3 linked regions of the Saccharomyces cerevisiae S288C genome follow. The protein of the gene in region 1 binds, or shares a complex with, the protein of each later gene. Each region holds a gene or a part of one and is shown on either strand. Other genes may lie near its edges.

What was found. Proteins that work in one complex are often made in the same cells at the same time.
Region 2: POP4 (region 1) and RPP1 share a complex: the UniProt entries of both Saccharomyces cerevisiae proteins name them as parts of the nuclear RNase P and RNase MRP complex.
Region 3: POP4 (region 1) and POP8 share a complex: the UniProt entries of both Saccharomyces cerevisiae proteins name them as parts of the nuclear RNase P and RNase MRP complex.

Annotation. Positions count from the first base shown.
Region 1 is NC_001134.8:727,165-730,415, reverse strand, and holds POP4 (RNase P/RNase MRP complex subunit), read right to left. Parts: upstream 1,532-3,251; coding exon 692-1,531; downstream 1-691. Other genes in the region: YBR259W (uncharacterized protein), read right to left, coding at 1-29; SHG1 (Shg1p), read left to right, coding at 254-682; RIB5 (riboflavin synthase), read left to right, coding at 2,314-3,030. UniProt on the Saccharomyces cerevisiae protein: Required for 5.8S rRNA and tRNA processing; associated with RNase MRP and RNase P.
Region 2 is NC_001140.6:222,377-225,472, forward strand, and holds RPP1 (RNA-binding RNA processing protein RPP1), read right to left. Parts: upstream 1,383-3,096; coding exon 501-1,382; downstream 1-500. Other genes in the region: GIC1 (Gic1p), read right to left, coding at 1-102; 2-dehydropantoate 2-reductase PAN5, read right to left, coding at 1,654-2,793. UniProt on the Saccharomyces cerevisiae protein: Component of ribonuclease P, a protein complex that generates mature tRNA molecules by cleaving their 5'-ends. Also a component of RNase MRP, which cleaves pre-rRNA sequences.
Region 3 is NC_001134.8:185,498-188,255, forward strand, and holds POP8 (ribonuclease P), read right to left. Parts: upstream 978-2,758; coding exon 931-977; intron 856-930; coding exon 501-855; downstream 1-500. Other genes in the region: DNA-(apurinic or apyrimidinic site) lyase APN2, read left to right, coding at 1-418; PEP1 (type I sorting receptor), read right to left, coding at 1,347-2,758. UniProt on the Saccharomyces cerevisiae protein: Component of ribonuclease P, a protein complex that generates mature tRNA molecules by cleaving their 5'-ends. Also a component of RNase MRP, which cleaves pre-rRNA sequences.

The DNA.
Region 1 (3,251 bases):
TATCTGGCAACAGCCTCGTCAATGGACATGACTATAAAATAAACTACACCTTAAAACTGAGTTCATATACCGCTTGCTGCTTCCATATTAAACACTTTTCGTTGTATAAATATGATGGCCTTTTTTTTTGTCTTATTTTTCTATATCTTGAAAACGAGAGATACTAGAGAAATAATACGTAAGAAAATCAGTTCTTTATTTAGCGAAGCTGAAACACAGTATAAGAGAGTAGAGCTTATTTCAAATCCAAAAAATGGCGTATAATCAAGAAGATAGTAAAAGACTATCAGACAAGTATAAGAAGGAGGGACATTTTGACAAGTTGAAAAGAGAAATATTGTCTAACCCATGGAATAATACAGAAGAGAATAGTGAATCTTTTGAACAAGCGCTTCGGAAAAGAGTTGCCAGTACTGTTAAAGAAATGGTTAACGAAGATGAAGAATTAATATTTAAAAACAGAGGGCTAACCAGTGCATTGATTGAATCACAATTGGTCAAGGACAACTACCTAAAGCTGGGTAGTAAAATGGAGGGGGATAATGGTGATGGTGAGAAGAAATTTGACTTGGATGTCTATGTACGGTCTAAGTTACAGGATCCCAAACTATTGGAAATGATAAAGGGACAACTTCAGGAAACACTGAACTCTTATGAAGAGGAAGCAAATGGAAGTACGTAATAACTCTTACTAATTCTGTATATAATATAGCATATCATCACAACGACGACTTTTGAACTTCCTGCCTGCACGATCCACACTTCTGTACTTGAACCTATCGCCTAGTATACTATATCTCAATGCCGAATCGTCGTCATCTGATATTGGGATTTCAAATTGAAATACTGTGCCCTTTTTTGGAATGCATTTTATTTCGTCTATTATATTGCCCTTGACAATCATGATAAAAAATTTCTGAGAGTCCCAGATCACAATGCCTTGAAGGCCTATTAAAGTCTTATTTTTGCTCTTTGTAACGCGTAACAGCGCACCATTATAGTCTGCCATAGATAGTTTTAATAATGCTAATGATCCATTGAATGTTTTTAAGTTTTTTGTAATGTTCAAAAGTTCTTTAATATAGTTAATCCATAGTTCCTTATACATCGGTACAAAATCAACGTACTGCGGTAATGATTCGTATATCGTTGGATGCTTCTCCTCTATGTAGTGTAAAAGGTCTTCCTTATCAGTAATTTTATTTTCGTATGCCAATTTCAGACATTTTTTTGTATTTTTTTTACAATTATTGATGTACTCTCTTAATGCGATTTTAGAGTTCTTGTTGATTCTTTGGTAATCTCTTTTTTCCAACTGTTTGTCTGCACTCTCTAACTGGGAGACCTTTTGTAAATTGTCAAGATTTAGCTTTGATTTTCTTTGCTGTCTCTGAAGCCTTGAAGTCAATCCGCCATCAGTTGGCAGTAGCAACAACGTATCTTGAAATCTATTTTCATTAAAGGGCTTTTCAGGGTCCTCCAGGCATTTCGTGAAAAGACAGTCTTTAATAAACGTTTGAGTTCTATCCATTCTGACAAATAGGGGAGTCCAAATCGTGCTTATTTTCTTTAGTCTTTACAGATTATTGCTCTCCGCTTATTCATGTCATCGAGTATATTTGCCATACTATTTTGAGTACCATTTTTTTTCTCAAATCAACGGACCGGGTAAAAAGCGGATGAATTGGGATATAAAGGCAGTAAAAAGACCACCACAGCTGCAACCACGGAGAATAAACTTCTTTAACTACCCCACAAAGCTGCCAGTAATGCTCAGTTTTCCATCCTTTGCATGAGCTTTCTGTAGAAATTTAACATTGTGCAATTTTTCTTGTATCCAAAAATTTTACATCGATTCAAAAAAAATGAATATTGGCTAGTAAAACTATTCATACTGCTATAAATACACCTGTTATGACATAAAAGCTCAAAAACAATCTGCATGTTTTTTCCTCTTTTTTCATTTATGGCTAGCAATCTCTTTTATTGATTTTTGTCGCGTAGGTATTAATGTTAACCCAGGATTCATTAATGTTGCCTCTGTGGGAACGATTACCCCCGGTAGTTATTTTGTGTTCAAGCTCGCTGTAAAAAGATCACTGTCTTCGATATTGGTTTATATAAAACTAAAGTAGCCGCCCAAGTACTCTCCGGGTACCAATTCCGTCCTTTTCTTTTTTTTCGGTAATTTCCATGGAGGAAGGTTATTGAACTATCTATTAGTCATATTCCAGATCCATCCAAATGATATAAAAAGACGGTACTTCCTAACGTACATGTCAAACCAATTGGTGAGATCGTAACCATAGCACAATGTTTACTGGTATTGTAGAATGCATGGGGACTGTTTTGGAAAACAACCCATATGATGACTCTGAAAGTGGAGGTCAAGGAGTTTCTATTACTATTGGCAATGCGGGGAGTATTCTCACCGATTGTCACGTTGGAGATTCAATAGCCGTAAATGGGGTATGCCTTACTGTGACCGAGTTTAATAACGACTCCTTCAAAGTTGGGATATCACCAGAAACTATAAAACGAAGTAATGTCGCTTCCTGGATTCAAGGCACCCAGGTCAACTTGGAGAGAGCGGTATCTCAAGACGTTAGGTTCGGTGGTCATTATGTACAGGGTCACGTAGACACTGTTGCTAATATTGTCTCAAGAAGACCTGAGGGGAATTCAATTATTTTTGGGTTTCAGTTAAGAGATCAAGAGTACTTTAAATACATAGTAGAAAAGGGATTCATTTGTATAGATGGAACTTCCTTGACCATAATCAAGGTTGACCCACTTTCGCAAGGTGGAGCCTTCTATATTAGTATGATAAAGCACACCCAAGACAATGTTATCATGCCTTTGAAGAAAATTGGCGACGAGGTTAATATTGAAGTAGATTTGACTGGGAAGATTATTGAGAAGCAAATTCTATTAACGTTGGAAAACCAAATATCAAAGAAAGATAGTACTTTGAATACTATGATCTCAAACATTATCGAGGAGAAGGTTAGAAACTACCTAAATAAATAAATAAAAAATTCGTCATAAATAGGTTTCATAAACGCATTTTTGAAGTGATCTCTCCATCTGCTGCAAAAATAGTCTTGTAAATGTGTGATAATGATGAGATTAGAACTTGGTACTGTAGCTAAGGTACTTAGGCAACTTCTCTTCATTATGTATTACCATGTTCTGTTGGTTCACGTGACATGCAAAGGTATAACTTTTTCCGTACAAATTATTCTCTCCAC
Region 2 (3,096 bases), on another chromosome or scaffold:
TACTTGGAATCCATACAATTTTTCCATTTCCTGATCCTCGTCAATCCAAATGGATTTCATTTGAGGAAGCTCCATCTGTTGCAGCCTCTTTCCTTCAGTCATCCTTTAGAATTTATCACACAATTAATAAGCGAGTATTCAGAGTGAATTATAAACAATAAACAATAGAAATAAGTCTTTCTTAAAAAAAAGTAGTGATAGTCCGTACGAAGATAATTAATTGCAGAATAGTTTTCAATGGTTTCAGCTCTCAGTAAATCCTACAGGTACAATGTAACAGAATATGCCTTGGATCCCCAAATTTTTTTGTCTATTCGTTGTTTTCCTTCTCTATGGAAATCGTCGAAAAATTTCTTTGTTTTTTTTTTCCTTTATTGTTGTTGTCTTTTCGCGAATTCGCGTCGCGATTCGTGGATTGTGATGATAATAGCGATGTCTACTACCCGGGTACGTATTTAATTATCATTTATACATTATATGTTATAGGTTAGCGTATCGTTTTAAGGCTTGTGTCTTTTGGAAGCATGGCCTAATTGTTCAGCATCCATACTCCTTTTCACTACCTTGATGGTCTGGACGTCGTCGATGCCTTGAACATCGTTGACCACGTCATCGCCGTTTCCGCTACCACCACCGGTAACAATGGTCTGTTTGTGGCTCTTATTCCTTAAGCGGCCATTTAGGAGGACGAGTGAAGCTAGGTCTCCCATGGCCTTCGAACACCTATCGCTCGGAAGACCTAAATTCTTGATTAGACTTGTTACTCCTAATATGTTGCGGCACTCAAGTGGTGACATGGCACCACTGCCGATAACAATGCCTCTGGACCTCGAACTCCTGATGACGCTTCTTACATTGGATACGAACTGCCTCCGAGCTTGTACGTCACGCAAAGCATAGCCATAAACAATTTCAAGTTTTACTCCTCTGTTCACACAGCTGCATATGCTTTTATGCTTAAGGAAAGTAGGCAGGCGCGACCCGTACTGAAAGGTCAACAAGTCAATATCCAGATTGGTAGTTGATAAAGTAAGGCCCTTTTCACTGATTGGCAATGCTGCTACAATATCAAAGGCCTGGCTTATCTTGGAAAGAGACTGTCCCTTCGATGGATCGTCGATAATTAGCGTGATCCTGCTGTATAATTTTAGCCCTGTTCGATCCATCAATTCTCCAAACCTTCTCTTGATATCGATAGGATTTAACAGCTTAACATCGTTGGGGAATTTCTCGCTGTGGTTTACTGTAAAATTTATGGCGATGTGTGTATATCCCAACATATGCAATGTGGATAACGTTTTTATTAAATTGTTGACCGCCTGAGAAGTAACTTTGTCTGCATAGCTGTTCTGTGGCCACGGTACATTCAAATCTACCAGCATTCTCGGTTCTATAATGCTTTCACTTTTGTTTTTTGTGTCTGTTTAGGTTAAGTATTTTCTACTGGTAAAATGAAATTTTTTCATTTATGCGAGGTAAAATTCTGGGCATCGCACATACATTTTTCATGTTTTCTGGTAGTAGTAACAAAAGAGAGGCACTTGACAAATTAATCTGCCTTCAGACTGTTAAGGTTCGCTCGAATAAAGCATTAAGAGTGTATATATATCAGTATTTATAAATGTATATGTTCTGGCTGATATCCGCGCATTTTCAGTCCTTTCTCCAGTCACCATTGATACTTCTCGACCTGTTCAATGCTAATCTCATAGTGGCCAATTCTCCGATAGTTTTATTAACCTTGCAGCAGTTTGGGTCTAGATTTAAGTTATCAGCCAATTTGACGACATAGCCATTGATATACTCAATTTCAATGTCTCTTAAGAACAAAGTGTCTTGTCTCATTGAACTACTGTTCCTAGAATTGATGTCACAGCCAATTCTAGTGACTTCGGAGACCATGTTATCGGTTGTCAGTACTGCATTGACATCCATTTCTGGGTATTCTTCATTACCGCTGTATTTTTCGTGGTATTGAAACAATGGCCTATAAGCAACTCTCAATATTTGTAAACACTCGTCAATAATAGATGTGAAAACTGGACCGCAACTGGCCTTCATCTCACCATTGACACAATCTAGAATAGCCGTAACTGGATTCATGCATGCATTAACCAAAAATTTAAATAATTGACCAAAGAGCATTTCTTGATAAGTGGAATGTTCTATTCCAAATTCCTTGGCAAATTTTGGTTCTGTTAATAATTTTACTAATGAGTTATTGGCTGCATCGTCCTCGACTACGGATTTTTTTTGAATCATTTCTTCCTCAGTCCAAGGCAATTTGGCAATTTTCATACCAGCCCACCCAGCATGATTGAAAACTCCTGCTTTATCCTGATAAACGCCATGAGAAATGACACCCTGAAATAAATGTGGTCTGTTTTTTGAATCTGTAAAGATTTCTTCTCTCAATAGTTCTAAAACGCCCAGTCCATTCTGAATCAAAATTAAGTTTGTATTTTTATTAATATAAGGCAAATAAGGAGCTAGTGCTTCTTTGGTTTGGTAAGTCTTTGTAGTGACGACTAAGTTGTCAATAGGTTTTTTAGAGAAAGTTTCAGGGCATTCGCATTTCTCCACTGGATAAGAAAATATTGGCGAGCCTTCCAAATAAAGTTTGCGAATCGAAATGTTGTTCCCATTTGTCTTCTGAAATTGTGCAAGTCTTTCTTGTGATCTAAATAAGGGCACAACTAGGGCATTGGTAAATCTTAAAAGGTCAACTGCCAAAACGGTACCCATGGCACCCAACCCAAGAATATGAATAGTACTTCTGTGTGGTGCAGTCATATTGTACAGACTTTATCGTATACGTATATTATCGATTTCTCCTATCGATCGTAACATACAAAGGTGAGTATAAAGTATCTTGTTTTTTTAATATATTTGTATTAAGCTGAATGGCACGATAAGCCTTTCTCGAGAAACCGTTAGCGGCCGCCAATCTATAAAAAAAAGAAATCGGAAACATGAAATATGAATTTGAATAGAACGTGACTCAACAGAAAGTCACAAACCTAACCATAATAACCTTGCTATAGCATTTTTTGACTTAATTTTATATGTTCTTTTTTCAAGGGCTGTATAGTTCCA
Region 3 (2,758 bases), 540 kb from region 1:
AAGGTACAAATATAATTTAAGAAACCATAATGTTTTAGAGATGTTTGCCAAAAAGGATACGAATAAAGAATCTAATAAACAAAAATATTGTGTATCAAAAGTCATGAATACCAAAAAAAACAGCAACATCAAAAACAAATCGCTCGACTCATTTTTCCAGAAGGTAAATGGAGAAAAAGATGACAGGATTAAAGAATCCTCTGAAATTCCACAGCAAGCTAAAAAAAGAATCTCCACGCCAAAGTTGAATTTCAAGGATGTCTTTGGAAAGCCTCCCCTGTGCAGGCATGGGGAGGAATCCATGCTGAAAACATCGAAAACTTCGGCCAATCCAGGTAGAAAGTTCTGGATTTGCAAGAGATCTCGGGGTGATTCAAATAATACAGAATCATCTTGTGGGTTTTTTCAGTGGGTTTAAATATGAAAACGTCAGCTGATATTTTGGGAGAATAAAACACTTTCTTCTATGCCCAAGTTTTTTTAAATAATAAACTGATATTCTATATACATTTACAGTCTTGTTCTTCTTCTTCCATTACTTTTTTCAGCCATAGGCGGTCATCGTCAGTAACCTCCAGAAGTCTCAAACTGGAAGATTCTTGTAGAATTGACACTGTTAATGGTGAACCGACGAGTTCATCAGTAGATATGTATGTACTGATGGACGAAGAAAATGTATCTTTATCCGCATGATTTACTCTGATGTAAGCCAGCTTATCGTCAACATGCAGGAATGAATATTCTACACCTTCACCAAAAATACCATAACTACGTTTCAATGCGTTATTTAACCATTGCCTCCATGTCATTTGATCAATAGCATGTGCATCGTCCACATCTTGATCGAATGAAGTACTATAAATATTAAAGTACGTTAGTAGTTTATTTCTCTTCGGTAGTTGAGACTCAAAAAGTCAAAAATATACATACATTGATAACTTGAAATATTGCCATTCTCTAAAAGTCTTTTTCCCCATCACAACTGGCCATTTATCAAACTATTTATCTGCCTTTTCTTATTCTGATTATCCTATAAAGCTGAACAGTAAAGCTTGTAAAATTACGCGATGACTTATGTATTGAAGTTATGACGTTCTCGATGATCTTCAGTCAAACAACCACTTTCCCGTAACATATGATATATCCCACCCGCTTCCTTGTACGCATTATTACGGTTCTGCTTTGAAGATGGAGATTCAGTACTTGCAGTTATTTGAATTGCACCAGTACTGATCATGCCAAGTTTCTTTGGCTTGTGAAAGAACTTGATATTCTGTCTAAAGGATCTGCTCGTTTTTGTTTATGAAAAGTATATGGAATTATCTACTCTATGTAAAGTAATCTCTCTACTGGTTTTCGTTAGATGGCGCTGTAGAATCAGGCCTGTCGATGTTTTCCTCATTTCCTTCTGGTAATGTATCTGGAACATCGGTGGTCGTAGGTTGATCTGTATATGATGTATGCTCTTCTTCAAGTGTTGGAACATCATCTTCTTCGATTTCAAAATTACTACCCTGATCCATGAAACTGGATAAGTCATTGGCGTCTTCATCGTGGCCAGCAAGCAGGTCATCTGCTTCATCCAAAAATTGATCATGGATCAGGGATGAGTAGCTTGGACCTGTTCTGTTTCCAAACCTTCCTCTAATTTTGGAGATAGCATGCGCTATATTAGTTTTTGTGTGCTGTAAAAGAGACCCGATATTTGAGAAAACGTAAAATCCTGATTTCACAATGTTATTGACAACTCTGTCAGTATTATTGTTTTCTATTAAACCATCGTCACCTAGCCTAATTTCTCCAAACCTTGCAAATCCCCCATTTCTTCTGATACCTCTGTCATATACAAACCATGCGGCAAAGAAAATTATTAAAAGAATTGAAATGAAAATAAATGCAAAGGGACCGGCACTTACTGAGTACTTTTCCTTGAATTCTTTTTCTTTTCCTGGGCAAGCATGTGGTGATGAGGGAGCATCCAATTTCAGGCCACCCTCACAGGTTGATAGAGGGATCTTTCTGTAGCCTGACGATTCAAAATATTCGATTAAATCTGGCTCTTTTTTACAAACGTCTGCAGCATTTGCTGGGCTTAGTCCTTTGACTAATTTACAAGTACCATCGTTAGCTTTGTAAAAGTTGTAATCACACTCGAAATCTTGTCTTGTACAAGAACAGTTTTTGATATTTCTTGAAAATTCAGAAAGTGGAATATTCCCAATAAAACAATTTTCATCGGTTTTACGTAAAAACTCGGTTTGGTGACCAAATAGGCAATTGCTTTTGGAACCCAGAGGAGAGTATTTATAATCTGCGCTTTCCTTACCAGTGATGTCGAAATCACATTGTCTTTCGAAGATGTTTCTAAAATCAATTGTGTACGTTCTAAATGAGCTGCCTCCAATATCTGCTGCCTCTCCAAACAGCAAAAATCTCAAAGCAGAATCCCTGGGAACAGTGGTTATATCCTTTACTAAAACCTTATCAGCGCAGAATTTATAATCTTTCCATGTTTTACCAAAATCGGTAGAATAGGAAATAGAATCAGTTTCTGAGTTTTCAGGAACTAAAACTAAAATCCCACCGTGGTCACCGTATTCCCATTGGTGAGGAGTCTTCTTAACTTCAGCCCACGTTTCGCCACCATCGGTGGTGAAGAAGGTGGAACATTCTTTATATGGTAAAAGGTTAGGACCAACGTTGCCAACGCCGAACATCATTCCTAATGCAGAACCGGAAGAATATGTATCTCTAATAT